Drosophila melanogaster: one gene and its partners. The protein of the gene in region 3 interacts with the protein of the main gene of each other region in a pairwise test. Each region holds a gene or a part of one and is shown on either strand. Other genes may lie near its edges. The genes, in order: Alp1, Sesn, CG17107 and Pex14.

Evidence for each region.
Region 1: the proteins of CG17107 (region 3) and Alp1 interact in a two-hybrid assay, tested with the Drosophila melanogaster proteins (one large-scale study listed by BioGRID).
Region 2: the proteins of CG17107 (region 3) and Sesn interact in a two-hybrid assay, tested with the Drosophila melanogaster proteins (one large-scale study listed by BioGRID).
Region 4: the proteins of CG17107 (region 3) and Pex14 interact in a two-hybrid assay, tested with the Drosophila melanogaster proteins (one large-scale study listed by BioGRID).

What each region holds. Positions count from the first base shown.
Region 1 is NT_037436.4:21,439,906-21,448,723, reverse strand, and holds Alp1 (alkaline phosphatase 1), read left to right. Parts: upstream 1-3,904; 5' UTR 3,905-3,973; coding exon 3,974-4,049; intron 4,050-4,623; coding exon 4,624-4,883; intron 4,884-4,987; coding exon 4,988-6,092; intron 6,093-6,201; coding exon 6,202-6,353; 3' UTR 6,354-6,497; downstream 6,498-8,818. Other genes in the region: Syx7 (syntaxin 7), read right to left, coding at 1,073-1,168, 1,227-1,643, 1,717-1,861, 2,212-2,281, 2,349-2,469; CG5664 (uncharacterized protein), read left to right, coding at 7,555-8,211, 8,270-8,818.
Region 2 is NT_033778.4:23,709,790-23,718,676, forward strand, and holds the start of Sesn (sestrin), read left to right. Parts: upstream 1-4,110; 5' UTR 4,111-4,329; intron 4,330-4,876; exon of another isoform or gene 4,877-4,891; 5' UTR 4,892-5,110; intron 5,111-8,887. UniProt on the Drosophila melanogaster protein: Functions as a negative feedback regulator of mTOR function.
Region 3 is NT_033779.5:10,677,601-10,684,628, forward strand, and holds CG17107 (uncharacterized protein), read left to right. Parts: upstream 1-4,365; 5' UTR 4,366-4,390; coding exon 4,391-4,681; 3' UTR 4,682-4,928; downstream 4,929-7,028. Other genes in the region: CG17104 (uncharacterized protein), read left to right, coding at 308-1,205, 1,304-1,755; CG17105 (uncharacterized protein), read left to right, coding at 3,447-3,758; CG7299 (uncharacterized protein), read right to left, coding at 6,239-6,772.
Region 4 is NT_037436.4:20,775,294-20,783,216, forward strand, and holds Pex14 (peroxin 14), read left to right. Parts: upstream 1-3,505; 5' UTR 3,506-3,639; coding exon 3,640-3,750; intron 3,751-3,809; coding exon 3,810-4,112; intron 4,113-4,384; coding exon 4,385-4,813; 3' UTR 4,814-5,085; downstream 5,086-7,923. Other genes in the region: pitslre, read left to right, coding at 1-760, 881-1,414; Pex16 (peroxin 16), read right to left, coding at 1,776-2,689, 2,750-2,861; Pcif1 (phosphorylated CTD-interacting factor 1), read right to left, coding at 6,365-7,037, 7,098-7,226, 7,292-7,417, 7,480-7,923.

The DNA of each region.
Region 1 (8,818 bases), on a different chromosome or scaffold from region 3:
GGAAATGATTGTTGGCGAGCCCCGGGGCGAGTTCGAGAAGGAAATGAGCTGCACTTAAATGCATGCGAGAAAACCACTCGATGCCAACAAGTGGATAAGAAGCCACCACACAAATGATGCCCAAACGAACTATCAATGTCAGTGAATTGGCAAAAAATTTAAACTCAATTTGTATGCAGGCCTGCGGAGCTGGAATTTCAAATGTGGAGGAAGATGGGGTCCGGCGACGAGGAAACCCTTTAGCCCCGGCTGACACACCTCAACGATGCAGCAAGCTGAAGTGGGTCCACCGCATCCAGGTCTGTCGCGGCATTAATGTGCCATCGGAGAGTGTGCGCTCGCTGAACACATAGTCGGATTGGTACCAATGTTTTGGGATCGAGATCGGGTTGGGAGTCGGGAGATGGGAGCTCCTAAGCCGCTAAAGCATGCGTAACAATGGCCAACACGAAATCTTAATGATCGCTAAGCCAAGGAGGAGTCGATGACCATGCACTTCTCCGAATGCCCAGAAGAGCTGGCGAGTTCCATTCATTGATTCATTCAGGTCGGGCCCTAAATGAAGTGCTCCAAGTGTTTTCAACGCACGCAGGATCGATTTTCATGTTTATTATTTCATTTTTCGTACATGTGTGTATGCCATCGCATATATGGCTTCCTCTGCCTCTTAACTCTAAATACAATACAATACAATACAAAGCGCTGGCGAATGAGTTTCGGAACATAATTAGAATTTGAAGCCAACAGTTGTTAATCAATACTAATAATCAATATACAGGGTGCGTAATAATAAAAGTAGTACACATAAAATATAAAATTGTTTTTAAAGCAAATATAACAGATGCACGTGCCGGTGAATACTCCTCAAAACACTATATCTTCGTCTACGAGTCGCAGTTTTCGATTTCAGCCAGTATTGGAAGTTGGATTAAGGATTAAAGCCATAATCTCGCCTAAGGTCCAAAGGATTGGGTGGGGAATTACGGGGTTTAGGGGCCTGCATGCGGCAACTCTTGTCTTTTCACAACAATTTACTAGTTTGGTTTGAATCATTCGGAGATGCCGGAAGGCTCTAATTCTTGAACTGAAAAACGAGTATCAAGATGATGGCCAGCAGCACGGCGCTCAGGATGCCCACCAAAATAAGCTTCTTCTTGCGCACTTTGTTCTAATAAACAACATATTTAAATTATTTAAAATAATAACCTTGTAGGGGCGGCACTTACCCTGTAAGAGCTCGCCTTGCGCAGATTTTCCGTGCCCTGCGAGACAAAAATGCTAGTCTGTTCCACCTGCGACTCGATGGAGTCCACCGTCAGTCCCTGCTCGTAGACCAGGGCGCCAAGCTTCTTGTATATCTCGTTCACGCCCACGATGTTGTTCTCCAACTCCCGTATGACCTGCTCCTGTTCCTCGAGGGCCTGCAGGTCCGCCTGCTCCTCCATCTGAGTCTGCATCTGTTGCTGGTTTGATTTGCGATTGAAGAAGTTGTCCTCGAAGAAGGAGTTGTTGTCCTGCTGGCTGGCGCTACTGTTGGAGCTGCCGGTACGCGATGAGCCGGGTGGACGGGCGATGTTGTAGCTATCTCCGCGCGCCTGCCGCAACGCCGTCTTCTCTATGTCCGCCGTCTTGCGCTGAACAGACTAAAAATACCAATGATAAACAATCAGCATGACTCACAAAACCATTTGCTTATCTGGGAGAACAAAAACAAACCTGGAAGGCGGTCAGTGCCGCCGTGAACTCGTCCACGAGCCTATCCCGCTGGATCTTCAGGTGGCGCTCCTTGCACTTGTCCACCTCGTTGATTTGATTGTTTGTGTCGGTCACCAGCTGGTTGGTGTAGGTCATTATTTGGTGGCTGTGGAGTAAGGGATTGTTATTTTTATCGTGCGTTATACATTGATTTGATTTGTGAATCACACTGTGCTGATACGTTTAAACTTTCAAAACCAATGACTGACTACAATGTTATTTTGCTGTTGGTTTATGTGGTCGGTTGATGTGCGCAAAATGTATTAAAAGGCTGTATTGGCTTAAGAAGATTTTTAGACATTGTGAGTAAACACCCAATAGAGATCTTCACTATGTCTTTAGAATTTATGATTTGTCTGAGAGATATTCGAATAATCGATGTATATCTGCAATGGGTTCTATCTATGGGGACAGTTTAAATTCCAAACGAAGAGATCGTAATGATAATCATCTTACAGCTGCTTCTTGAGCTCCGGAGAATCTTGGGGCGTGTTCAGTTGATTGACCATGCGCTGCATCGTGGACACTGCGAAAGAGACAGAAACCTAGATTAGTCATAGGCGAAAGTTGGCAAGTGCTTCGACGCCACTCACCATTCTGCTGCACCTTCTGGATGCTGGTGGCTATAATCTGGGCCAGCCTTTGGAAATCTATTTCGCTTAGGCCACCTCCTCCCCCGCCGCTTAGACCATTCTCCATATGCTGTAAGTCCATGCTTTCGTAGGCAGACACTTTGATGACCTTCGAGTTATCGCTGGAGACAAGTTGTTCCTGGAGAGACAGACAATCGAATTAGCCCCGTGGCCCACTTATATCACATTCGCTTTTATGCGTCTCAGCCAGGTTCTTGATTCTATATTCTATATTCGTGCTTGTTTGTTAGTTTGTCTGTTTGTCGGAATGTTTGCAATTCGCATTCCCTTTGTTTGCTGCACAGCCACACACCTTTTGTGGTTGCCCTAGCTGTCGTTGGTGACCTTCGCCGGTGACCTTGATCTTAGAGCATTTCCTTCGCACTTTTTACGCGTTTCGCAATCTGAAATTTGTTGATTTAAGTAGGCGGAATGTTCGCAAAACTGAAATTTTAGCTAGGTTTTTACAACAATTGGAATGGAACTGCCAACTTGTGAGAAAGTCACTTTCGACTAATACCCAAAAGTGCCTTAGCGCGTGATGCGTTTAGCATCACTTCCTTGCTACGCTTTACAGCACTTCAATTATATCGATATCTGGCGCGGCATTCAAATAGCAGATATATAGAACTGCATTTTAATTATATTCTTCCCCCTATATTTTGTCTCGAAAATGTATATAAGTCCTGAGATTTATTATTGAAAATCGATCCATGTCTAAAATGAACTGCTTAATGTTATTATTCAAAATTATAAATTATTATTTTGCACTTTTTCTCCAAAATTAAAATGTTAGATTAGGAAAATGTCGTATAGAAATGAAAATGACCAACAATGATGCCTTATAAAACAAATAAGTCGAATTTTAGACAGTTTTCCTTCCGTTCAATAAATATGTTCATACCAAATTTAATAATAATGTAGGTATACAAAACTATTTTGCTTACCCAGAATGTTATTCAAAACTTAAAATTTAACATTGTACAACTCAGGGTATTTGAAACCTGTTTAGCAGAAATAAAATTGAAGATTATTACTTTTCTTAAAAAAGTCAAATAACTGGTAGACAAAATAAGTGCAACTCGTTTATAAAAAAAATCAAAAGCAACTTAATTCAAATTAACGTTACAAATTAGTGTATTGGAGATATTTATCAGTATCCGGTGTTTGGCACGGTTAATGAACTTTAGATCGCAGAATGAATTAGGCTGCTTCGATGCATCCACTAATTACATCATCTCCTACTGCGATGCAAGATATTATGCAAATGACCAATGCAACGAACCTGATTTTTGGAGAACATCATTTTAATCTAAGCTGTGCTGGCTGCATAATTTGAATAAGGGCATAAATGCCTTTCTTTCATCCCGAAATTCCGGTTGGTAGGTGTATTTAGAAGCTTTATAATACAGGGACGGGTTTTAATTTATTGTCTCAGTGTTTTTTTATAATTCGACTCGCATTTTCGGTCCCTGTCTTACCGGGCTCGTATAAATAAGCCTCCAACTGCGAAATGCGGCTTAGTCGATCCGTAGACTTCGTAACGCCCCGACCAGTCGAAAGTTAGTTCATCAAAATTCCGTGCGATGCGTGCTCTCCGGTTCTTTGCGGCTCTTGCCCTCCAACTCACGGCCTGTAGCAGCCAGTACAAATATGGGCCAGGTGCGTAACGTCAAGACCGAGATCAGAAACGGGCCCAAAAGACCCGAAATGAATAAATGAAAAACGAGTGAGAGTGTGCCAGGTCGAAAGCAAACTCAAAACATATGCAGAATTGATTAATCAAGTGCTAAACGGAGTATAAAAGGCGTCAGCAAAATACTCGTAAATTGAATTAAATATTTGACACCCGCTAACAGAGCTGTCAAACATCACTTTTTCCGAAGGAGAATGTTTTAACGAAAGTGGATATAAGACTAATACTTTAAAATTTAAATTTGAATTAATTTTAATGCTTAATTTCCATAGGTTTCTTTCGGTGTTTTATTTATGTGCTATCTTCTGAAAGCAATTTCCCTTTTTAATGATTAATTCGAAAGTGGAGTGGAAAACAATGGCAATTGTGTCTGTGCTTTTGTTTTGTAAAACGAAACATGTGCTTGGAATTGATAAATTCTTGAGGTTGTACTTGAAATGTGTATGCATATCGGCTAGTAACAAAAAATGGTTTCAATTAATCAGAATAATATGCATTCTTAATTTATAATGAAATAAGCTAAAATCGCATTACTTTCAGAGCAATCCTGGGACCTCGACTCTATTTCCGAGTTGAAGAGCAAGGAGTTCTGGTTTCACGACGCCCAGCGCACGCTCTACAATAAGCTATCCACTCCACCAAACCAATATCGTGCCAAGAATGTCATATTTTTCCTGGGCGACGGTATGTCCGTTCCCACGGTAACCGCAGGCAGGATCTTCGATGGACAGCTGCGTGGAGTGGTGGGCGAACGGAATCGTCTGGAGTTCGAGAAATTCAACTATGTCGGTCTGTCCAAGGTACTTAGAAGTCAACGAAGTCATTTGTTATCTCAATAAACTGCTAATAAATTTATTAAGTCCGTTAATAACTAGACAGTAATTACGCCCTTCTGTCATTGTAGACTTATTGCGTCAATAAGCAAGTGGCTGACTCCGCCTGCACAGCATCGGCCTATCTGTCGGGGATCAAGGCGAACTATCTGACCATCGGAGTGACAGCCGATGTGGAGTTGAACGACTGCAGGGGATCGCGCTTGCCGCAGAATAGGCTCTCCTCGATTGCCGCCTGGGCGCTTAAAGGTAGCAAATCCGCTGGATTGGTGACCACCACTCGGGTTACCCACGCCAGTCCGGCCGGAGTTTATGCGCACACTTCGAATCGCGATTTCGAGAGCGACTACGACGTGACCAAATTGGGTCAAAATCCAGGAAACTGTCCGGATATCGCCCAGCAATTGATAGACGGAGATGTGGGCAAGCGACTGCGTGTGGTCATGGGCGGTGGAACCATTAAATTCTTGCCCAATACCACGAACGATGTGTTCGGAAACAAGGGCCAGCGGTTGGATAATAGGAACCTCATTGAGGAATGGCAACAAACAAAGCCGGGTAATGCTAGGGTGGTGTTTAGTCGTACGGATCTCCTGAACAATGATGCGCAGAACACTGACTTCCTGCTGGGGCTCTTCAATGCCTCTCACTTGGCGTACCACATGGACGACAGCATAGACACACCCACGCTACCCGAGATGACGGCAGCGGCCATAAATGTGCTTTCCCGAGATCCAAACGGGTATTTCCTTTTCGTGGAAGGCGGTCGAATCGATCACGCCCATCATGAGACCAAGGCCAAGAAGGCCTTGGATGAAACCGTTCAGTTTTCGGACGCAGTGAGAAAGGCACGACAACTCACCAATCCCTGGGACACCTTAATTGTGGTGAGTGCGGATCACGGACACACGGTCACGATCAGCGGCTATCCGGATGTTAACAACAGCATAGTAGGACTCAATTCCGAGCTAAGTAATGTGGACCAGCTGCCCTACACGTCCATCTCATATGCCAACGGCCCGGCCTACGAGAGATTCTACAAATCGACGGACGGAGTGGTGGAGCGCGTTGATCTCCGTAACCTGGACTTTTCCAAACCGGATGCCATCTATCCACATGGAGTGCCCATGACCGAGGAGACACACGGCGGTGGCGATGTGGCCGTCTATGCTCATGGTGAGTTCATGTTTTTTTGGTTTTTAAGTTTTTTTTTTTAGATGGGTTTTGAATGATATATATAATCTTAAATCCAAGCATTTAATCAAAACTCTTGAAATGTATAAAGTTGTGGAATATCTTCTTCAAGGTCCATGGTCTCATCTTTTCACTGGAGTTTACGAACAAAGCACCTTGCCTCATTTGATGGGCTTCGCCTCTTGCTTAGGACCTGGAATTACATATTGCGATCTGCAGCCAAAAGCAAGATACTCTCCCTAGAAAATCCCCTAGGAATAAATATGTTTAGAAATTGAATAAAATGATCTATTCTTAAAACAAATTGCGGAGATTCTAGAATCGCCATATTTAATCTTAACTTTTTAGCTTATATAGTTCCTGAATAAAGAGAATAAGCAAAGAAGCAACAGCACTTCCCAAAATTATTAATTAAAAAACAGACAAATTACATTACAAAATCATCTCCCTGATGTCAATTGATAGACCCCCAAATAATGAAAACTTAACCGATATAGAGCTGCGGTTAAAATAATAGCACTACTGCAGGTGGAAAGTTGATTTCCTAAAAAAAAATTATTAAATGTTTTTTTTTTAAGTCAGATTGCATGAATAATAAGTACCATATGTGGTCTCTCTGAGCAATAAATTTTTACTCTCTCAACGTAACGGTTCTTTTTGTTTTTGGGCACTTGCTGCAAAAGTGCGCGAAATTAGGCGGTAACAAACATAGCACTGACCACGTATTTGCTGAATAATATTAATAGAAGTGATTGCTTTGGGTTTTTTTTTCCACACATTTTATAAAAAGGAATTGAATTGAAGGTTTTAATTGAATTTTTTCCAAACGAAGGCCCAAAATTCTCAAGTCATGGGTCGCATAAAGCATTGTACCGTCGAAAAAAGAAATTTGATTAAAAACATGATCTCTGAAGGTAAAACCTACGCTGAAATTGGACGCATTGTCGGTTGTTCAAACAAGAAAGAAAGCCCTCAATGTCCAACGTTGAGATCAAGCCCTTGGTTCGACAAAGCCTTTTAAGCCGGCGACGGAACTGAAGAAGGAGCTTAATCACAAGTAATAAGACTGGACTGGACGTATAGGACACACCATTTTAATTGAAAATTTGAATAGAGAAAATTTAATAGAGAGTTTGAATTTTGGTTATTTCCATAATTTCGATATTATCGCATAAGTTAAAAAGCCGTTGAGCCCATTAGTATCGATTGTTCTATCGTTTTACCGTATATTTGGGCGGTCTGTCAGCGGTCACACTTAAAAATATCCCCGGCAAAAAAAAACACAAATTGTGTTTTTAATACTTTTGATATTCTAGCGTAAATAATTGTTACGCGCTCTGATGTCCACCACAATTAACGCCATAACGTTAGTCCTGGTCTAGAGGTTGAAAAGAATCCTGAAACCAAAGAACCTGAAGATCAGTTAGTAACCGAAGGAATTGCAATGGGTTCCAACGGCGAAGAATTATTGAATTTCGCAATGAACTCAGACAGCGTAAATACCATAAATTCAACAGCGGACGTCGCAGAAATTGTCTTAGACACTAATTTAGAGTTCAACAAGACGATTCCTTTTCATCTGCCTCAGGAGTCGGACGTGGAAATGGTCTCTGTCAGATCAGCTGCCGAACCTGATCCTAACAAATCAGATTCCAAAGCAAGTAATAAATCAGATTCCAAATTAGATGGTAAATCGATATTAGAGTCAGGAACCAAACCTCAGGCGGCCCCGGGGGAGGTTTTCGCTAGGAAGGCATGCCTCAAGAGGACCAACGAATATCCTGCTCCGCTGAATCATACTCTCAAGAAACTGAACTGGAAGTTTAACCTGCGTATATTGATCTCAAATCTGTACATGAAGAGCGAGGATCGTCTTCCGGGAGCTTGTGTTTCCAGGTGTCTTTACAATACTAGTCTGTGCACGCAAAGACATCGGTGCTCCGCGCTTCCGGATGGCCCAAACTTTGCGGCCGTTCAGGCGCTACGAACCACGTTGCACGGCCAGCACTACGATACATTCCTGGACATTCTGGAGATGATGGTGTTGCAGGGTGTCTACCCAGGCGAAGGAGTCTTTGACAGACTAATAGATATGGCCATGGTTGATTGCTTATTTCTCTGGTGTCACATTGTAATAATATCATGAATTCCTTATGCAGATCCTAATTGCCAAAGAGATAAGCGTAAAGGAGCTTGGCGACATCTACAACAAACTTATACGCACCTTTTTTCTTTTGGTCGACGCCTTTCCCCCGTGCTGGACAGCCCTGCGTCCTTACTACTTGAGTTTTCTGGGCGTCTCGCATCCCCCCTTGCGAGAAACACGTTCAACCAATTCTACCCAGAAGTTGCAGTTTTACATCGATCTTTTTGAGGAAAATCTAACGCATTGCAGCGATGAAGAGATACGTGAAAACACCAAATTCTATGAAAAGTTTGTGTTTAACTTCTCGGAAGAGGAGGATGCGAATATGTCCCAGGAAACGGTCTTTCTGCGACATGTACAGCAGTATGACTGGCAGAGTGGGAAGCTTTGTCTGGACGACTTCAAGAGAATGTCGCCCGCAGTCCGCTTGGCACGGCTCTGCGATGTCCTGAACATGCTCACATGTGTACTGGAAATAGAGTTCCTCTCCTGGCTGGATCATAACAGGTTGAGGCAGTCGGAGTCGGAGCTGTTTCAGGAAAACTCCAGGTCATTTGCCTCG
Region 2 (8,887 bases), on a different chromosome or scaffold from region 3:
GCTGTTGCGCCTCCCATCGATAGCAGTCCAACTGGATTTTGCATGCTATCGATATTTTCCCAATTTAAATTTGTAGTTCTAACAGCGAGCACCAGTGGCGTCTTCCGCTTCCGGTTGTTGCTTGGTTTTCAAGAAAAGAAAATTTAATTTTATCACGCTGAAAATGCTTTTAAATATTTGTAATTTAATTTTTAAAGTATATTTGGGTTGCTACCTAAATTATTGTGGCCAAAACACGAGTTTTCCAAGGAGGGCTACCTTCATAACTTGGCCAAAAAAAGTCGCACATTCAAAAAAATTACTGTTTTAGACTCCTAATGATCCAAACTAACTATCCCAATCACAATCTTGACGATTTTCAATAATTAAATTTTTGGCCATTTTTTGCATTTTTTGTAAGGGGTTACATCGTTAAAATTTGCAAAAAATTGACAAAAATTAAAATTTTCAAATTTGAATGGGAATCGATTAGGAATGTGAATACAAGTTCAACAAGCTATGACACTCAATATTTGGGCCATAAAATCGATTGTTTTGGCCAAAATACGTATTTTTTGGTTGATTTAAGGGTTCACCTTCATAATTTGGCCAAAAAGAGTTAATGATTCAATACAGTACAATAGAAATATCATTATTTGAGGATTTGCTTGAATTTTATTGAATAGCAATGAGTTTGACAATTGCATTTTGAAACACATCCACTGCTTTTAGTTCCTGCTGAGTATTTACAATTTGAATGGCTGCATTTTTCCTAGCCAGCTGGATGTTGTAAGGCCTGCGGGTGGATTAAACCATAACATATATGTAGTAATTAGCAGAATTCCTACACGGCGAACGCTTCTATTCGGTCAAAATGGGTGGGCCCCATTTGGGGCGGGGGACCGGAACTGCAGGTGGGAATACGCAACAGGTACAAAACCAATCAGCTCATGGCCAATTTGCTGGCCAGATTAACGTCCATCGCTGGCGTCATCCCAATAGCAAACAGTCGGTCGTGGTCCGTGTGCTTTGGCTGGTTTTGCTGGCTTTGGGTGGTTTTTGGGGTGGCTCTGGCGGTTTAACGCATCGCTGAGATGCATTTGCCAGAGGCAAACGGGGTAACATAAGCCGGGCGAGGGTGTGCTCATGCAAACGCAGCTCGTTTATCGGGTTACAACTGATATGGTGGCCATGCCGCAACCACACTTAACCCACCATCGAGCCCACATCCTTTTCAGGACGCAGAACGCAGAACGCAGGACACAGGACCCAGGGCTCGGGACTCTGGACGGGGGAATGGCCCGCACCCAGACCCACCGGGCAATTAAATGTCAACCCACGGATGCGAATGGCTGCCCGATTTTCCGGCGCTGCCCCGCTCTTGTGTGTTTTTTCCGCATTTCGTGATTCATTTATTGTGTCCACTGCAGCGTGTTTGCTCGGAAAAAGAAAAACACGAAATAGTTGGCCCTGTTGTCGCTTTTTCCCGACATTTACCTGTTCAGTCAGCCAGCTGAAACACTGATATGCCACCAATTATCCAAAAAGCGAAAAACTGTAGCGAAAAAAGGTGCACGGCGATTTACAGGAATTTAGCCGGAGGATCCGTGCGAACTGGAATTCAATAACCCATTTTTGTCAGCTACATTTTTTCCAAAAAAAATCTGTTTAAAAACATTTTTGCTACAGATGAGTGGAGTTTTACCGTAAAATTTTTCTGTACTCTGATAATCCTTTGTTTCCCCTTTTTTTTAGCAAAAATGTTGAAGTGTGTCCCTTGATAGCAAAACTAATTATGTATGCCAGCATTAATTAAGCTTATATGCTTGAATACATCATTTCGCTGGAGAAAGAACATGCTCGAGAGAGTAATTCAAATTAAATATAAAATAATTTAAAAGGTTTATACAATTGTAAATAATAAAACATACTGATAGTCGTGCGTAATGTGGCAAGTCATGCATATTGACTAATTTAAGTGATCTGTGCTTTTTTCTTGGGGCCCGTACCAAAATAAGTTTAAGCATATGTTTTCATGTTTGTCGCCCCATATTTGTGGGTCAATCGCGTCCGAAGAGTTGGCTATCTCCGCATGAACTATAGAACTAAATCGGTCACTCCTTATCGGTCGCGTCGCCTTAGTCGACAGATGTACCCATGTGTGTAGACAAACCAACATACGTACAGCCTCAGCTACTTTCTGTGCGAGTGAGACAATTGTTTATTAATCAATAATAACAATAATCTACGCCACGCACACCGACACAACGTGTGTATTTCGGTATCGGCGCTGTTATCACTATCAGCCCGCTGCTGCTGTGGCTCCCATTGCTGATAAGCGACTTCCCCCACTCCGCCGCTGTAATGCAAATCAACAGCATTCGGCCTATGATAGTGATAGTGGCGAGCGGCGAGCAGTACTTTGCACTCGAGTGCTTATTAATTTCTCTTGCCAGCAGCGCACTCATTGCCTTTGCATTTTATTGTCTCACGATCTGGCTATAAAATGAAAATGGGGACGGGTACTTTATTTATCGCCGCCACTTATTGCAGTTCGTATGATACTCGCTCTATGGGCGGAAGAAACGGAGGCGGGGCAGTTCAGAGGCTCTCGAGCCGGAAAAAGTCTCTGTAGGGTAAACAAGGCGGGTTCCATGGCTCTGCGAAGTCTTTCTGCCGAGCTTCAGGTACAGTGGAGGTTCTACTGTGTGAAAGTGTAGTTAATACCTAAGTTCGTAAAGTTGCTAGTGCCATTTTTGCTTGCAAAGCATGCTTTGTTGAAAACCATTTGATATCTTGCTAGAAGCTTTCAGTTTAGTGACTCTACATCCCTACATGCTGGCAGTTTCGAACAGTTTTGAGCTGTATTCCAGTGAGGATTAATCCCATTTGAGTTCGAAACTATCGCCTCTTGTGCTGATTATTGTGGACAGAGATATTGGATCACGACACAGAGGGCTGACTGTGGCCTCTTTGCTTTTGCTTTGAGCTTTGAACGCCCGCAAATGCTGACTATTTTGTTGGGCCCTAGCATGGTGATAGAATGTGGGAGGGGGAAAGGGGCGTGGCAAAGGGGGAGTAGGTTGGAGATAGGAGGGCTAGCGACTAAAAAGTGTTGATAACCGGGCACACATTTGCATCCACAAACACTGCGACGCACACACGCACACCCTGCTTTCTAGGCCTCTGCCATTTAAGTTCAATCATTTGGAGCGTCGTCGCTGCGTTGTCATTGTTGTTATTGTTGTTATTGTTGCTATTGTTGCTATTATTGTTATTGCTGCTGCTGTTTGTGTTGCTGTCGCTCCATGTGCTCCTCACATATGTTGAACTAAAAAGAATTGGAGGAGCAGAGAGGCAGGGCGAAGAAAAGAACTGTACATTTGTACGGGGTGTATTGGTTTAGTTGGGTACCCTACGCTACAGAAGAAAGTAGAAGGTTGAGAAGGAATATGTCTCCTACTTTTCGTGCGTTAGCACGCTTTTGTAACAAGTTTCAATAAATAGATTATAGAAACTATAAAAAGCAACAATTCGGATATGACAGTCTCTATATCTTGTTTTGTGTAGCGTATTCGGCATGCAGCTTAGCTCTCACCCTTGGCAACGGCAACAAAGTAGGTGCAACAAAGAGTCATAGCGACCGTCTCTCCTGCGCCTACAGAGCAACTCTCCCCACCCCCAGCCCCTCAGGAAAATGGTCAGACTGCTTCTGCCTCTGCCTGTTGCTGCTTTGCCTGCTCTTTCTGTCCCACACACTTGCTCTCTCGCTCGTTGCTCGTAATAAGCTTACACAGAAAACAAATAATTGAAATCTAAAGAAGTTCTCCTTTAAATTATTAAACGCAAAGGTATAATTAGATACAATGAAAATAAGTTTCTTGCATGCAGATCCTTTTAAGCTACGAAATCGCTGTTAAAGGCCATATAACTAGCATTGCATTAGTTGGTGATTTAAGTGCTTGACTTTTCGCGCAGTGTGGCGCACTCTCTTCGGCTCTCCGCCCCCGTCAGCTGTTGTTGTTGCACTGTGGGGCTTTGGGGCTGCGATACCAGCTGTTTCGTTTCGTATCGTTTCGTTGCGATTCGTTTCATTTCGTTTCGCCGCGATTCGATTCGAGTCGAGCTGCTTCAGTTGAAGTTTGTCGCTGGCCGCGTTCAGTTGTCCGGCTAGAAAAGCGGAAGACCGGGAAATCCAGACGCGCTACAGACGCCCGATATCTGCTCCCACTCTCAGCGCAAGATCGCGGGAAATCAGGAAGCTCCGAAAACATCGGATAACCGTTTTTATTTTTATTCCCCTTTGGTTCGTTCTCGCCTCCGTTTCTTCTGTTGCTTCTGTTACTTCTGGTAATTTCCATTTCCCTCGGGGGGATACGCGCTCAAACGCAACTGCAGGCGGCGCAAAACAAGAAATGTAGATAGCGCCAAAAATTAAAAAAATAAGAAAAATAGAGAAAAATAAAAAAGCGAAAATCATTGTTATTGCATGGAAAATTACTACAGAAATCTCCTGCAAAGCAGCCCAGTCAGAGTGGCACTAAAGCAAACCAAACCAAATCAAACCCAAAACTGAGACAACAACAAGGCGGCGGAGCATAAATTAGATTGGCCTCATAGTCGAATAATAACGAGCTCGAGCCGCGTAAACAAATTAAACGATGCTGACCGCCGTTGTTGTTCAAATTTAAATATAAACTATTATTGTTATCTCTGCGCTTGCCGTTGTCTATTTTCGCGCCAAATGCAATCGGTTCTTCGGTTTTTTCGGGGTATTAGGGGAGAGGGCATTACATAATTAGTGAGCGCGTAAATTAAATTATAAACGAAAACGGACGAAAATCGAGTACCAACTTTCTTCGTTTCCTCTGATCAAAACAATACATTTTATCCACAGTTTTCGTGTCTTAAGTTTCGGAGCCCTTCGCCGATTTCCAGCAATTAGTTACTACATCATATATGTTCTGTGTTATCAAAAACGCGAGCGAAAGAAGCGCTCTATCTGCGATTGTAAAGACAAACACCACAAGAAAGTAGCTGTGTGCCCCTCGGGCAAATGAACCGAAATTAAAGGAGATTACAAACATCGCTATCAAGCAAATGTAGAGACTGTTAGTCCGGCGAACAAAGGGTAAGTAAGAAAGGTTCCATCTATACAGTACTCCAGTTTTCCCCAATACATTTGCAAATGTCCTTTGAGGCCAGGACTGTTACTAAGAGGCTTTTCCGATGAAATGGAATGTTCCTTAGGGATTGTCGTAATGGAAAAAAACCCAAGGCACTGCAAGAAACAAAATGCACTTTAGAATTGGTTAAAATATATCCTTAAGCTGGTATTCCCCTAACATAGGTTGCCACTCGCATTTATCTGCAGTGCCCCACTTAATGTCTTCATACATAAATAACTGGCTATTTTTGAATATTTGAATTCTCTATTGAATCTATAGAGAAACCATTCCCTTCCCCAGTGCACAACTCTCGACTGGAGTAGAAGCTCATGCTATTGGGTTTGCAGCATCGCTTCCCACAAAATCCTCACAAATCTTTGGCAGATTGCACATGTGAAACCTGCGGTTGTTGGCCAATTCCGGCTGTTTTCCCATTTTTTGGCCAGTGCCAGGGACTTTGCGGATTGACGGGCTGTCAAGTCAGCGCAACAGGTTCCTGGGCCAAGATGCGTATACAGAAAACAGAATCGAATGGAAGACACACTGATTCAATTCGTTCAGTATTGGATTTGCTGCTGCCACACAACTTCAAGTTGAGGAAATTGGCACTTGACCTACCGCACGGGAATCTAAATTAGGCGGCGTGTTCGCTTGCCGAGCGTTTCGCCCTCTCTTTCCGCCCCACTGCGAAGGCGAAGCCTCGCACGCGGTTTTTGGTAAACTGCTGAGGGCATTTGTTCACTTTGCTGGCTGCGTTTGTTTACGGTTTCCATTACCCGCTTCTCGCGGCTTCAGCTTTTTCCAGTTCTATTTCGAGTTGGCCATCCACTAATTAGGCAGCTTGTCGGGCAGCATTCGAGTTAAATGTTCGGCACTGCAAATGACATGGTCCTTGCGGCCATACACACGATACTATCCATTGTTACACTCGTACAATACATGCGGTGAAACAATCAAGTACGCCGACATGGGCGTAATTCGCAGACAAACAAGAAGAACGAAAACGAACTGAGCCTGCGAATTAAGGCCCCTGCTCGGCAATGAATTCTCTTCGCCATGCCAGGCCATCGGCCATCCCGGCGTATACGTAATGCTACGGGCCGAAAAGAATTGAGGAATGGCTGGCAGTTAATGCCAATTATGATAAACGGTTGCTATGTAGCCGTCGCACACAGATACTCTACACACTGGCGCGCGCCACACAGATACTCACGCAGATACAGATACTCATGCACTCGCACTCGCACAACTGTTGCTCGCGATGTTGTTGATGTCTTTTAGTTGTTGCCAGGCGCATTAAGATTGCCGCTTGTGCTTGTGTGTGTGTTTATGTGTGTTGAGTGATTGGGTGTACGAGTGTGTGATGGGAAATCACTTGAACCATCGGCTGAGAGGGCAATTGATATGTGCTTCCATCAATGTTGCAATCAGTTAAGCGGCTTTCGAGCGCCAGAAACAACTGAATCGGTCTGTAAACTCAATCGAATTCGTCCTTTTGCGACAAAAACAACAGTCATGGTCCTTCCAATGACCTGCGGCCACTACCATTATTAATTCGATCAGCTGTACGCTTCGCAGATTCCAGTAATTCGATAAAAGTTTATTTAAGCACTTATTTGAACAGATTCAAATAAGTAAATTGAAAGTTTAGTACATTATTTCATGTTTAATGCGGATAGTTTAAAAGTTGTGTTGTTTGTTGTATCCGCGAATGCTGCTTTAATCATAGTCATTTCTATGGGCGCAAGACGAGGTGACTGAACTCGCAACAGCAACTGCAGCAGCCACTACAACTGCAGCAAGTGCAGCAGCAACACAATTGCAACTGCAGTCTGTTAAGCTTGCTTGCCGTTAATTTGTGCAATCTTCTACTTTTACCTACTTATTACAAGTAGTCACAAACAAAACTGAGTATTTTCCATGCCGTTTTCCCATGCTTCAGATTCAAGGGTATTTACGCATGTTCTTCAGCTAACTGCAAGCATAATCCAAGTGGGAAACTTTCTGACTTACCCATAATTGTAAAGACTTAATTAAAAGAGTTTCAATAACTAATCAAATGGATTTCCCTCACAGCGCACATAACTCACCATCCATATCAGTATATCAGTAGCCTAATAAATGGCGATTGGCCCGACTTAAGTCAAGTGAATATATAAAAAATCTAATCGCCAAATATTGTTTATGGTGGTCAAGTACGATTAGAAGTTCTTTGGAAAAGCCATAGCAACTGCCAAATTCAGATTTCTATTCATTTACTGCCGCTGCTCTGCAAATTGTGTGCGAATATTTGTGGATTTCTGTATGTAAGTGGGCAAATTGCATTACAACCGAATAATAATTACAATGCAAAAGTAATTTTGTGTGCGAAATTCTAATTCCCCATGCAGCCGAATAATTGGGGTTGGATTTATCTATCAAGAAACTAATGGAATCACATTAGTTTTAAATACAACTTTGCTTCAACTTAGCTTAAATTAATGGTATGGATATTTCATCAGTTGGCATTATAATTAGCCCGTGGCATTATAATTAGCATAATATCAGCACTCCTATCGGCATCTGCCTGCCATTTGGATTGCGTCAGCCGAAGATCGGAATTAGATCCTTGTTGACAATTGAGTTGCCAAAATAGCGGGCAGATGTTGCACCCAGGGCAATTGAAATGCCAGAATGTGTTTGTATCTTTGCATCTTTCTATCTGGTGATGCAGATCTGCATCTGCGAGTCAGCTGACACCGTTACTCACGCACTCATGGCACCCAAAATAAAACTGTGCATAATGTCAGTGCACTGAACTGGCCGCATGAATCGCAGTCAGAACTGCAATTCGGTGGCAAGTTGCAATCAATATGAGTTTATGCAGCGGGGTCAACGAACTGGCCGCTGAAAACTCATTAGCGTAGTGCCGCAGGCCCAAATCTCAGTCGGGGAAATCGGTCGAAATCGGTCGAAATCGGACGAAATCGGACGAGATCGGACGAGAAACCGGGGGAAATCGGCGAAAAATCGGTGCAGGCCGGGGAAAATGTAGCTTTCTAGCCGCATGATCGCACAGCTGAAAACAGCTGAAAGCAAAGCGACGAGCGCGAATAGCAAATTGCAAGGCAAACAGCTCGTGGCGGTCGCCATAGCCCACATATACATACCCCCACTACATACATATGTACATGCATGCATATATGCACTTGTATCTGAACAATCAGCGTCAATAAGCAGCGCAATCGCCGTTCGTCATCGCGCTGCTACTGCAGCTGCCGCACAATGGCGAATAATAAAATTAGCCACAATGACGAACAAAGAAGCGCTGGCAGTGCAAGTTTGTAATGGCCATTACAAAACAGGCTAATCTGCGGGAAGTTGGCTCGCAGGGAGCCTCGTCCACTGTCACTGGCCAACAGAGGAGGGCATTTAGCGACGTTCTGATAACGCGGACTCGTAAGCCTCTTAGCCGATTAATTGATACATTACTCTACTATGCCAAGTAGACGTGCAACAGAGTAGCTCGGCTTTCTATGCCGTCTAATTGCCATTAAATGTACTTTACAGCTGGCCCGAGCCCGAGCATTGGACAATTACGTATACGGCCCGTGTGCACTCTGCACTCTCTACTTTTGATGGCTGGCCATTTGGGGCGTCCATTAGACAGAGTGACACCGGGCACACTCGCACCTCACAACTCACACCTCACACCTCACACTTCCCACTTGGCCATCTCAGATCACACATTTTGAAACCTC
Region 3 (7,028 bases):
CTATAACTTTAACTAAAGCATCGTTCAAAAGCTAATATAAACAGTGAATAACATATAGCTCTAAAACAGCTTAAAAATATTCAGTTATTTGTAAGATCCCTTCCTCTCTTAATATCGTAAAAATAAACCACCTTTTTTCTCTGCAGAAAGAGAGAGCTTTTGGAATCAGGAGCAAGTTTTTTCAGAGCCAAAGTGAACGTAGCTTTCGGCACGTTCGAACCACCACACTCGTTTGATTCATTGCCAGCGAGCCACTGAACCGCCTCGCATTCCGCGAATACCAAAAAAAAACAAAAAATCCGCCGAAATGCTGCGGACCTTTGCCATTCTGCTACTGATCGCAGTTTACAGCCACGCAAGAGCTGCGCCACAGAAAACAACCGTTTCGCCGGAGTATGAAGCCACCGAGGACGTGGACTCCTCCACCTATATGTCCGTGGAGGAGAGCACCATTACGGTAGATGTCGACTCGGACGTGATATTGACCACCAATCCTGAGGGGGAGGCCTTCACCGAAGCCAGCCCGATAGTTACGACGGAGGAGCCACTTCCGGATTCGGTGGTGCAACAGCTTGAGATGGAGCGTGCACAGGAGGAGGAGCTCAAGAATCCCGAAAAGCCGGAAGATGACCTCGATTCGGACTCGGAGGAGGAGGATCAGACCACATCAACAAGTACTGAGCAACCAAAGTCTGAAGTTTCCGAGAGCACCACCAAGCGGAGCTACAAATTCGGAGCTACCACACTGCCACCGAATTTCATCACAACCACTAGAAGAGTGGAGATCACCACTATTCTGCCACAGGACGGAGCCACGACTCCTAATGCTGAGACCGAGGAAACCACCGTCAAGGAGGAGGTCAAAACCATAAGGAACTACTTCGAGCGGAAGCCCGCACATATGGAAGAGATTGAACTGGACATGGCCGAGAACCGAATGGAAACGACCACAAATGAACCCCTCCATGAGAACGTAGAGCTTTCCATGATTATGACCACCGACGCCGCATTGGTGGAAGAGGATAAAAAGACCGGAATTGAGACTGATCAGGCAGAGACGGTGGAAACCACAGTGGTGCCTGTTTACCAATACGTTAGCAATGCAGCTCCTATCGTCACTGAACCACAACCGGAATCAACTACGGTGGTGCCCACAGTAAAGGAAGAGGCAGCCACCACTGAGGGTGCCATTGAGGAAACTACAGGTGTGTCTTTAATCTAAAAATATATTTGTGACTTATTTATTTACGAAACCCATTTCCTTGCCAACAATATGTTAACTAAATACATATTTTTTTCACAGAACTGCCACTAGTTTTGTCCTCTGCATTTAAACCCACCAGTGAGGCTGAGGAGACCACTGAAACAGCTCCAAGCACCTCCACTTCAACCACCGAGACTGTTCTGATCACCACCAAGGTGGGAACATTGGAGAACTTCCAGCCAGAGACCACCACGAGTGCTTTGGACACAACATCCACTACGAGCACCACTGAAGCTCCAACTACGACGAGCACCACAAGCAGCACTGAAGATCCAACTACAACGAGCACCACTGAGGCTCCAACTACGACGAGCACCACTGAAGCTCCAACTACGACAAGTACCACCAGCACCACCAGTGCTCCAACCACAACCACCACCACAGAACGCCCCATTCAGACGCGAGCTCCGCGTGTGGAGCGAATCTTCAACTCCGACGGAGTGGAGGTGCTCTACGGATACTCGTCTGTGGTGCGGACCAACCGCTCGTGAGTGGTCAGCACCACACGACCTTGTCAAGGTCGGACAACTTGCCATTATGTGGAGATTGATGCTCGGGTTGTTTTAGGCAATTTTCAATTCTAAACGAGTTATAAACAAAAATATTTAAATTTTATGCGACGATCCGCACAGTGTGATAAACCAAAAAAAAAAAAGAAAAACAAATAACGATGCGTAAGAAGATATCGATGGAAATACAAATCCGCACAGACATTAAACAAAACAAAAATAATATTGTGCAAAATTTGTGAACGGTCTGCCAAATGACAAAAATGAGGAGAAATGCGTGAGATAAGCGATTTTATAAATTATAAATAAAACATGAACACCCATCTTTCGTTTTGTGTTTGTTTTGGCGATTGCACAAAGCGTTAGTAGGTATTTTAAACATTGTTGATCCGAAAATCGATCTTCAAATGGGACATAATATTGCCGCAACGAAACGTGATTGGCTGAGGTGATCCAAAAGATACCCTCTAATAGTAGCAGAGGGAAAGATAATTTAAATCATGTTTATGTAGGGTCTATTCCTAAAATTGAATATTCAATATAGAGTTTTTAATATAGAGCATTCAATGTAGAGTATTCAATATAGTATAGACTTCTTTCAAATCTAATTCACTGAATATGAATCATTTTGTATATTGTTCGAGCAGCGCACCCAAGAAATCAAGTCAAACACAAGCTCAGACATTCAGCAGCCCACAAGCTGATCGCTGCCCACCTGCAAAAAAAAAAATAAAAAACAGAAAAAGAAAAACCGGCAATCTCCTCAAGAGTTGTCGTCATACATTTTTGGGCTTTATGTTCCGGCATGGACGCAGTTAGTCCGATGGACAGACACGTGGACCAGTCAAGCTGACTGGTTTGGTGTGGTCAGGTCTGCAGGCTTGGGTCGCCTGGCAGATTATTCATTCATCGATCGGCTTGTGAAAATCCATGAATCCATGAAGAAGCACAGGGCTTTTTTGGGGGTTTTGCAATGAGTATCACGTTTGCTATGCCTCACCCTCGATGGAATTTGAAAGCAATCGGCTATAAAACAAACACCAAGCGCTAATTTCCATTTGAACTTGAGCGGCAGTCGCTAAACTGCATGTTGAATATGGTTCGAATGAATGCGGATCGAAGGTTTTGGCGATACGGGTTTTTTTTTTTTTGGCCACTTAACTGGCCTTTATTTACTAAGCCAACTGACTTAGTAAGCTCTAGGTCGTGGGATGTACCGATATCAGGCAGTTAGTCATAAGCTTAACGGGATGAAGAAAAATATATATATTAAGATGGTAACCACAATTGCAGAAATGAAATTAATAGATTAGTTATTTCTATCATAACATTGAAGTAATTTCTCTATCTCTCCATTTTCCTTGCTTATGAATAAATTTATCCTGGACATTTAATGACCCAAATTACTACAGTAGATTGATTTGTAAAACAAAAAGATTCGCAAATATTTCTCACTGTATGCTTGCTACAGTAAGCTCTGGCTATAAAAGCTTCATTCGCAGAAAATAAAAACAACTTCTGTTACAGCCGAAAACTATGCCACTTATATATTTAAGCTCTAGTTAACCATTGTTAACAAGTTAAGTAGACTTATTTTTGCTTTCTTTGTTTCATTATGGAAATTAAGTTGTCATACGAAAAAAAAAAAACACAGGATAGTGGGACATCCCACGATGAAATTATATGCACTCTGCGCTATCCTGCTCCTTGCCATTGTGGCAGTCCAAGGATATCCTGGTATACACGGTGGCTTTGGACACGGAGGACACGGTGGACTCAGTGGCTTGGGAGGACTTGGCGGCTTAGGAGGACGCGTTGGTTTCGGAGGACCCGGTGGCTATGGAGGACCCGGTGGCTACGGAGGACTCGGTGGCTACGGCGGACCCGGTAGCTACGGCGGTGGTGGTGGAGGCGCAGTAGCCACTGCCAACGCTAATGCAAACGCAAACTCAGTTGGTTACAGTCCGGGTGCTTACTACGGATAAGGAATGATGATAACAGCAGTCCAGAAACGGCAATTGCTTTAAAAAATAAACAAATGCATAATTATTGCATAAAGACTAAGACATTTTTCTATTATTACTTTTGCCAAACGTTATCAACACAATGGCCTTACCTTCTATGTATAATATACTATAAATATAAATTTATTAATTTTTAATTATTATTTATTAAGTGAAGAATATATATATAATTTTCGGGTTCAAAAGTTGTAATCACCGGAAAAGGAATTTTGTATAAAATGTGTAAACAGAAGCAAATCTAAGGACTTACATGATAAACTAGTTTTTATAGCTGATTATCATAATGAATTTATCTGAGCTTTTTTACAGCCTGAAAATATACTTTACCAAAACATGGCTTGCCAAAGCTAACCAGTTTTCAATTATTGATAACATAGTATATAAGCATATACTATACATATAGGTAATATTAAACGTCATGCGTTTTTAATATATGTCTAATTAATGTGCTAATCGAAGCCCCCATATATATGCCGATACAATATCGATTCTGTGATTTTTTTTGTTTTTCAGATAAACAAGTCGTCCACCTGTCACGGATGCTGGTATAAAAGAGGCCAGCACGCGATCACAAAACATCGCAATCTCTAACGATGAAGTTCCTGGCTATCTGCATTTTTCTAATCTTCGCCCTGGTGGCCGTTCAGGCACATCCTGGTGGATTCGGCGGATTCGGTGGAGGCGGTGGTGGCGGTGGTCGCGGTGGAGGCGGTGGAGGCGGTGGAGTCGGTGGAGTCGGCGGTTCGAACGCAGTTGCCAACGCGAATGCCGCTGCAACCGCCGACAGCAGAGGAGGCGGCCCAGCTTCCGCCTCGGCCTCGGCCACTGCAACCGCCAACGCCAGCTCCGGAGGAGGTGGAGGTGGACATGGCAGACATGGATAGGCTCGAAACGGATTCATAACTGTACTCTCGAAAAGTGGGCACGTCCGCTGACAGACCTACTAAACTGAAACCAATACCAATACCAATAAATATTAAAATGCTAATTCTGTTTTTGGAAATCCAAGATGTTGTTTTCGTATATTAGGTTAATAACCAGTTTATGAGTCGGGCATTATTTATAGATCTAATGACGTCAAACAAGATTTCTCTAGCCTCCTAAAAACAGACTAAGTTAACAGCGGGAGCTAATATTAGAAACTATGTTTTAAAATGTATCTAACAACTTGAATTACAACTGAAAAGTATGCATTATATATATATAGTTTTTGCAAATAGTTAGTGCATCTCAATTTTAATTTAATTTATTTTTATATTTAAAATCATTAAGCTCATTTCATTCATCATTTGTTTGTACAGCTTACCCGGAAATCCAAACAATTTGTGAGTTTTTTTTTTTTGTGTGATTACTTTTTTTATGTAATTAAGTAATTGCATTTGCCACCCACAACAAGTCTTGAATTTGGCCACTTACGGAGTGACACACTCAATTTCAGCAGGTCTAATAAATCGAAGATATTTTTTCACAAATGAAGTCCGACGTCTCTTGATATATTGTCAAGCTTCTTAAAACTCGGGTTTGCAATATTTAAATTTGCAAATTATCAACATCTGGATAAGTTTCTACGTTTACGGTAGCCAAACCTTTCCGAAATAAAACTAGTTTTATACCCCTTAATCGTACAGTAATAGGGTATGCTAGGCTTATTAGAATGTATGAAACAGATAGAAGGAGCATTTTCAATCTATATTGCATTCAGATTTTAGGGACGTTGCACTTTTGAAAAATGCTTTTGATATTTTTTTGTTTAATTACCATTTTTTCCTATCTATTGATGTGCCAAATGAACTAGTTGAGTAACGGGTATCAGATAGTCGAGGAACTCGGCTATAGCGTTTTTTCTAGTTTTTAATTCTAGCTAAATTATCTACATATTATTATCATAGTTAATTTTTGCACTAATCAAAGCACACAGTCTGCATATCAATGATGTTTTCGAAATGTCTGTTCTTTTCTGTTGCTCTAGAAAGTGGAACACACATTATAATTATAATTTGTAAATCTAAAGAGTAAAATATTTTTCTTTGTTTATTCCAAAAAGACTACAAACATTTTTACAAAATACGCTTTCAATGTATGAATTGTAATTTTATCAGCCTAGAACAATTTTGCGACTGAATCATTTCATTTATATTTTCATAATAGAAATGCATAAATTCGAAATAAAATATTATCAAAATATTCTTGACAAAGCATTCCCCTGGAAAAAAAAATGTAATTGGATGTGTGCAAAAATGCACATGTTCTTTTTATGCACATTCAATTTAGTGGATCTATACTTAAAAAGGATTCTGTGTTAGTTTTCCTTGTTTGCATGGACCTCATTACTGTGATGACATGCCTTTCAAGAATTACAAATGTTCATAGTTTTGTGTTTTTTATTTTTATTTTTATAAATATTAAAAATCTACTCAGTGAATAAATTCGGATCTGTTGGCTTATTTGCGGAATGCGTTGGCGACGGCATTGGCGTTAGCATTAGCACTGCCACCTCGGGTGTTGGCATTGGCATTGGCGTTTGCATTGGCATTACCACCGCCAAATCCTCCGTCAGAGTTGGCGACAGCATTGGCATTGGCGTTAGCTTCGGAGTTACCACCGAATCCTCCTGGTCCTCCTGGTCCTCCGAATCCTCCTGGTCCTCCGAATCCACCCTGTCCTCCGAATCCACCCTGTCCTCCGAATCCACCCTGTCCGCCGAATCCACCTTGTCCTTCAAAGCCACCTGGTCCTCCGAATCCACCTTGTCCTGGCCCTCCGAATCCACCCTGTCCTCCGAATCCAGGGCCTCGTTCCCCGAATCCTCCTCCGAATCCGCCTTCCTTCTGGAAACCAGGTCCGCTGAATCCTGGTCTTCCACCGCCCTCACTCTCAGCATTTGCGTTGGCATTTGCGTTAGCATTGCCATTATTAAACTGCGGGGCGGCACTGGACACGGCCAGGATTACGGCGAGAACGACAAAGACCTTCATGGTGATCTGCTTGATCGGAGTGACTGAACAAACTTAATGGCCAATGCCCCAGGGCCTGGTTTTTATAGTGGCCAGACGGCAGGCAGACGCAAACAAACAAAAAAAAATAAAAAAAAAAAACAATAATCTAATCTAGCCTCCGCTTTCGGATAAAAATTAGCATGCAAACAATAGTCACTGCCGAAAAATAATTTCAATATTATCGGAGATCACAGATAGATTCCCCCGATCTGGACAGCGCTCCAGAGTGGGACGG
Region 4 (7,923 bases), on a different chromosome or scaffold from region 3:
CAAAGAGAAACAGAAGTCTCTGGAGGAGCAAATTCCGTGCGATGACAAGGGCATTCCCCTGCCCAACTATTATCCCGGTGTGCAGGGCTGCCGGTCTGTGGAGGAATTCCAGTGTCTAAACCGCATCGAAGAGGGAACCTATGGAGTGGTATATCGAGCCAAGGACAAAAGAACCAATGAGATTGTGGCTCTTAAGCGTCTGAAAATGGAGAAGGAAAAGGAGGGATTTCCGATAACATCACTCAGGGAGATCAACACTCTTCTCAAGGGTCAGCACCCGAATATTGTGACCGTTCGCGAGATCGTGGTCGGATCCAACATGGATAAGATATTTATTGTGATGGACTATGTAGAACACGACCTGAAATCCCTGATGGAAACGATGAAAAATCGTAAGCAGAGCTTTTTCCCCGGAGAAGTCAAATGTCTGACGCAGCAGCTTCTGCGGGCGGTGGCCCACCTCCATGACAATTGGATATTGCATCGTGACCTGAAGACCTCCAATCTCCTCTTGTCCCACAAGGGCATTCTCAAGGTGGGTGATTTCGGATTGGCAAGGGAGTATGGATCGCCGATCAAGAAGTATACCTCACTTGTTGTCACTCTCTGGTATCGTGCACCCGAGCTCCTTCTCTGCTCGCCGGTTTACTCCACGCCCATAGACGTCTGGTCGGTAGGCTGCATTTTCGCCGAATTCTTGCAGATGCTGCCGCTCTTTCCGGGAAAATCTGAAATCGATGAGCTTAACAGGATCTTTAAGGTAAGCTGTGGTTGAGCATTAAAGTTTAGTTATTAAAATAAGCTTGTTGAACAATTGTTAGTATTAACTTTGAAATTCATTTGCCGAGAATGCTTATTGACTTTTGATTTATTGTTCTAGGAATTGGGAACTCCGAACGAGAAGATCTGGCCAGGATACACCGAGCTCCCAGCCGTGAAGAACATGTTGTCGCAGAACTCTCAGTTTACCGAGTATCCCGTCTCGCAACTGCGCAAGCACTTCCAGGAGAAGACCTCTGAAATGGGCTTGTCGCTGCTGCAGGGTCTGCTGACGTACGATCCGAAACAAAGACTGAGCGCCGACGCGGCACTAAAGCACGGCTTCTTCAAGGAGCTGCCATTGCCCATCGATCCATCCATGTTTCCCACCTGGCCGGCCAAGAGCGAGTTGGGAGCCCGCAAGGCGCAAGCCTCTTCCCCCAAACCGCCATCCGGTGGCTCGCAGTTCAAGCAACTAGGCCGCGACGAGCCCATCATCGTGGGACCGGGAAACAAGCTCTCATCTGGGATTATCACTGGCAACAAGAAGAGCCACGGAGCTGGTGGATCGTCGGCTAGCACGGGATTTGTCCTGAACGCTGGAATAACGCAGCGCCAGTTGGCCATGGGACCGGGATTCAGTCTGAAGTTCTGATTCTGTGTGTTTTAGCCCATTACGATTACGATTAATTGTTATGTATAGTTAGCGATGTAAGTGGAAAATTTCGTTTAATTGTATGTGTATAAATATTGTTCCATATATAATTTAAAAAGCCATACAAAGCAATTGGGATGTATAATCATTTTTCACCTCAAGAGCGGCAATGCCATGTGGGTGGGTCAATTCAAGGAATATGAAAGTTGGCTATAAACATATCGAAAATTACTCCATCGTTTTATTGTGCAAACAACTTTTCAAGGACCAAAACTCAACCCACCCTCAACACTCCGAATGCGTCCACACCTGTAACTTTAAAACTTAGCCTAGGGGAATACTAACGCTCTACCTGAAATGCCTAAGTGGACCACAGATAGAAGTAAGTGCTTTGCCACGTGGGAATGTAATCTTTAAGGGGTTTGGCAACCACCTTAGCAATGGGCACACTTGTGGCCACAAAGTCGAGGATCCGCTCCAGTCTGGATTTGGTGAAGCTGTCATAGAACGGCGATCGGACCAGGAAGTACATGATGTTTATGCATCGCCTGCTCAGCTCCAGTTTTTGTTGCTTGGACATTAGGTCGCGATGCTGGCGGTAGAGGTGAATGCTATACAAATCAATGGATAATGCTACCATATATTGCTTCCAACTTCTCCGGCCGAACAGCCCCATGGCGACCAGGTGGATTAGTGGCTTCGATATATACAGGTATTCTGCTTGCAGGAGTTTCCTCGGAATTTGCGTCTTCGCCGCTTCATTGTTGTCTATATGAAGCTTGAAGTCGCGGTATTGCAGGGGAGGAGCACCCTCCACTTTACGAATCACACGGCCAGATCGCTTCAATTGGAAGGTAATGGAGTGCTGGGACTGCAATAAATCGTTCGTGGAGGAGGCCACACCATCCCCCGAATTCTTCCTCTGTTTGGCCCTTCGATTCAGTGCGGCGATGGGCGGTGAGGTGATTATATCCGAGGTTGAGTGTTTCAAGATAAAGAAACGGCCCGCTGCCTTGAAGGCCTGTATTAGCGCTATCACCAGCCACTTGCCGGATTGACCGAAAAGCCGACGGGCTGATATCTCGATGAAAACCTCGCTATATTCGAGCGTCGTCAACGTGACCTTTAGACGGTAGCAAAGTTTCGATTGCAGGTGGATCACCGAATTCTCCTCGGAATTGCGTGCCTTTTCGATGATCCGGTCGTTGTAGAACACCAGCATGTTTGACAGTGTATATACCAGCTCACTGACCACATTTGATGAGGAAATGCGACCTGGAAGCCGGCCAATGAGATGAGTCTGTAGGCTCTATGTAAGCAAGGAGTTCACTTTACCTGCTATAAAGTAGGATACCCACTTGGCTGTGGTCTCAAAATCCCCCACCACGTCGGGGTTTTTGCCCACCCACGCCTCGTACGCCTTCAGCATGCCCTTCAGAGTGTCCATTATATCCGGAAAATATTGTCTGTTCCTCCAAATAATAAAAATAATGAGGTGTTTCGGTCTACAGGTAATCAAATCGGTGCAGTTGTGGTGTTCTGGCGTTTTGAACAAGGCGTTAGTGCTTTCATGCAACACAAAATAGAAGGTGACGCAAAATGAATACATATATGAATGCAAGCACGGAGAGCGTTGATTAAACGCTTTGGATTAATAAAATTGGTACAAAAATAAATACCAAATACCAGTGTCACGAGCTTATCGCCATTACACTTTCAAATTTTACCACATTGGTGCTTACACGTCATAGAAAAAGAAACTAATAATTAAGGACCCACAATTTGTAAGAACCACATTTGGCATATCTGCCACCAACCTTTCATAGCCCCTTTTAATGTTCTTCAATGTAAAGATTTGCTTGTTTAGTCTCGGCATCTTAATTCAAGTTTCCTGATTCTTTATACTGCAGTATATTTTTATTGGGTATATTATGCATTTAAAATTTTAGCCCAGGTACTATGTTCTTTATAATAGAAACATTTCTTACCAAATTTTTCGGTAAAAACATTTTTCCAAGTTCAAATCTTTATTACGTTACAAATTACCTTAACGTTATACATAATAACCCTAGAAACGCTAATGCATTAGTAATTTCGAGAGCAGCAAAGTCTTTGGTCACACTTTTGTTTTTGTGCACTTTGTAATCGAATTGCTCGTGAATTCGGATTCACTCCGTTTTCGTGTGTATTAGCTAGGCAAGATTGAATTAAGAGTCGATATACAGATGTCCAGCAACAACACGGACACTGGGGACACCACCGTCATGGCGACGGCTACCTCGGTGCAGAACGATGTCGAGGCCGGCGTAGATGAGCAATTGCCTCGAGAATCGCTGGTAATATTTGTTCAACCCCTTCAAGTTTGCCTAATCTATAATCCGACTATTCGCCGCAGATAACCACTGCAGTCAGTTTTCTACAAAACACCAAGGTGCGCCACACGACACTTATCCAGAAGCAGCAGTTCCTACGGTCCAAAGGTCTCACCGCTCACGAAATTCAGCTGGCCTGTGAACGGGCCGGCGTTTTCACCCAAGACCCCAACAAGCCCAATCCGAATCCGAACACCGTCATTAGCATTGGATCCCAATTGCACGCGCTGCAGCCGCAGCCGACTGTCTTGGGCCGGATCAGGGAAATCATCCATTCGGCAGCCCTGTTCAGCGGAGTCGTCTACGCAGTCTACATCTTCTGGAAGGTGAGATGCAGTGGGATCTCTATTTCGGGGTCTTTTAAAAAGATTTATTATATTTACTCCACCAACTCGAGTGCGAATTTAAAGATCGCCATCTTGTCTAAGGCTTAGATACATTACACATATATTTGATGACACTTTTACCAGACGACGTTGAATTTACTTAGTATTTAACACATTTTGTAAAAGTGTTAGGACGCATAAATAAGTTTTAAGTGGTCCACCAGTCCAAAGTCCATGATTGCTAATAACTTCTAAAACCCGTATAATTTCAGCAATACATTGCGCCCTACCTGTTCGGCAAGTCCAAGAAGAAGGCGGTCGATGAAGTCCTGGACGACATAGACAAGAAGGTAGAGACCCGCACCAACGACCTCAACAAGGAGATTTTGGCGGTCAGGGATCTGATCACCACACAGCAAAGGGAACACGCCCAGCAGCTGAACCGCGAATTTAGTAACTTCCGTAGCGATCTGGATGCCATTAAGGGCCTGCTTTTGAACCGAAAACAGTTCGCCGGCCCTGTGGCTCCGATCGCAGTGCCATCCATTCCCGCCTGGCAATTGGCCGGCTCACCGCATCACCATCACCGGCACAGCGGGTCGGACGACAACGAGAAGGGCGATGATGCTGGATCCGGGTCTGGCTCGTCGGAGACAGAGGTGGTCACCAAGAATAGTGACTCCAGCTTGGAGATCATGTAATGCAATCAGAATACGAGGCTGGCTATATAGACGTAGTATATAGTTACGCTGTAAATTGAGTTTCCCCGTTAAATGCCTTCAAGACTTTTGGTTTTTTTTCTTTGCGTTTATAGCATTTAAGGTTTCTTTATAGTCAACAGCTAATCCATATCCAAAAGTACATACACACACTCACATATACACACTTATGCGATACGATGTCTATACAATGTAATAATAAAAAGTTTACATAATAACAGGTTTGAATTGAAAGAAACTGTTTAATTAAGCGCAAAAATGCTTTGTGTAGTTTTTTGTTTATCGGTACATACGGGGTGGGGATAGCATATCGGTTTAGACAATAAATTTCGACTTAGACGATAATTGGATTCTAAAAATTTTGCCGAGTGCTACTTTCTATAAATTGGCTAAATTCCCTTAGGTTTGATTTAAGATTATGCCGGGCGGAGCACCTCGAGGTTTTGCCTACAAGCTCCTTGAAGACTCCACCCAGATCCTTAACGGATTTAAATTATTTATTTATTGTGCGGTGCCTAGTTATGGTTTTGTTTCAATTACAAATTTGGTTCTCTGCGCATTCCCTTCATTAAATTTCCTTCACTACTTACGTTAGTTATCGATTTGTACATACGATAATTTAGTATTCAAATAATTGTTTGCCATTTTCGTAAAAGTTAATGTATTCTAGTAAGTTAATATTCTCACAAACGATTGTTAAGGGCTTCACAGTTCACATGAATGTGTTCTTTATTTCTCACTTCGTTTTGTGAATGGACAAACCATTGCGAAATACCCTGAAACAAGGATAGAGAACAGTACCCCTACCCATACTATGTATGCATTATTAGAGTCTTTTGTTGGGTAGCTTGGCCCTTGTTTGTTGGGTACAATCGTATAAGATAAACAGCGGCCAGGCCGGCATTTTTATCAGCTATTTCAAATTAAATATAACATATTTACAATTAATTATACCTTGCGATGGGGGCAATACCAGCTGCCAAAGGCCGAGCACTGTGTACGTTTGAAAATTAAAGCTTTGACAAGAAGTACAAAAATGTGTACGTTTGAAAATTAAAGCTTTGACAAGAAGTACAAAAATGTGTAACAAAATATTTAGTGTTTTAAAGCCTGTTGTTTGACCCAAACGTAATTTACCATTCGGACAGGCATCATTTGATTAACACCGAGCGATGTGTAACGTTACAAATTAAGTTTTTAAAATAAGAAATTACAAAATATTGCGTAATATGTATATGCGTTTTCCTGGTTCCAACGATACATTTTGAAAACGGAATTGGATAGTTGTACTTTTTCGGAAAAACAGAAGTTGCCATCCCTTTGGCTTCCGCGTTTGTTTAAATTAAAGCGATTATCATCCGATTACACAAAACTAAACCTCAGAACTGGGAGCATGGCCGCTAGTGTGGCTTCAGGCCCAATTGGTTTTTTCTTCCTCAAATGTAACCCTAATTTATGCTAACAGAAAGTGCACAGATAGTATGGACAAAATAGAACCATGTGTGGATAGCAAGATCCCAAAAAGAATCAAATCTAGACGGCTGAGTTGATGACCGCTTGCGTGGATGCGGAACTACTGATGCTATTGGCCTGGCCAAATGCAGATCCCGCTCCAGCAGCCGATGTGGTAGTCGTTGCCGTAATGCTCACCGCTGCCGCTGTGGCAGATGTCACTCCATCCGGATAGCCGCCCGAAGCAGGAGCCGGTGAAAGAGACATCGTCGACGAGGAGGGCGAAGAGCAATCGCTTTGCACACTCATTGTGGGCGAGGCGGCCACCAAATTGCTGCTACTGCTGGTGTTGCTGATGGTCATCGGAAACTGTGGCGGCGGATTCCCGGTGGGCGTGTGCGGGGACAGTGGCGACATTGAGGACGATGTTGTGGTCAGCGACGGGCTGCTGCTTGTGCTCGTTGTAGTGGCTGTGGATGAGCTGTTGCTATTGACTCCACTGATCGTACAGGAGTTGGTTGTTGGAGCCGTGGATGCGGCGGATGGGGGCGTCGATGGCGATTGCTGGCTGGAGGTTACCCCAGCTGCTGCCGCCGCAGCTGCAGCCCGCTCACGCTCCCGATCTCGTTGTGGCCTGAAGGCCTCACGCAGTGCCTCCACGCGAATTTCATTGGGTCCCCATCGCGCGTATCCGGCGCTATTTTGCAACCACACCACCTGTGTGCCCTGCATGCACTTGATCAGCACATCAGACCTGGAAATTAACGGAGTTAAATAAGTATGAATGGGAAAAGCATAAGTTTAACTAACTTACTTTTGCAACATGTGCTGATAGCCGTGTCTGTACTCGTGGGCCATGCCCAATACCACCATTGAACGGCGCTTGTACATGCTGTCGTCCAGCTTGGATATGCTCTTCCACTCCGGCAGAAACACAATAAAGCTGAGTAAAACAAGAACAAATTGTATTATACTCATAAGCAACATCAAACCGATGTTTAATCTCACCTCAGAGGCTCCATGGTGTCCGTGAGCAGTTTGTCGATGTGCAGCAAAGAAGCCTCAATCAGCTCCTCGCAATGAGGAGGGTTTACTTGGAAGGAACCGGAAACGGGCTTGAAGTCGAGGAAGGGCCTGTAAAGGTCACACATTTCACTTAGATTCAGCTTATTAAAATTCACTATTTGGCTACATACCCCCTGGAACCGAAGTAGGCATCCGTGTCGGCAAACGCAGAGCAGTACTGTCGGAAATAGGAATTGAATGGCGAGGCGAAGCACTCGAAGCTTACACCAAACTGCCTATGTAGGCACTCGAACACTGGCACTGGCAAGGCAGCCTGGGTAAGCTCCGCCTCCTGGGAGGAATTCAGGGCATTGCCCAGGAAGGTCTGGTACCTCTTGAGCAGACACCATACCCGGCCAATGAACAGATCGAACTTCTTGTCGTCGAAACAGTTGTGGCGGTACAGCTGTTCCAGCTTCTGTAGATAGGTAAGGTTGATGTACTGAGCATCTGGCTGGTTGATCGTGGCGGGCGTGTACTTGATGATCATGTGGTCGCGATCCTGTAAGTACTCGATCGTCGGCATCCGAGGCGATGGGACGGCAAACTGTATGGGATAGCACCACACTTTCTTT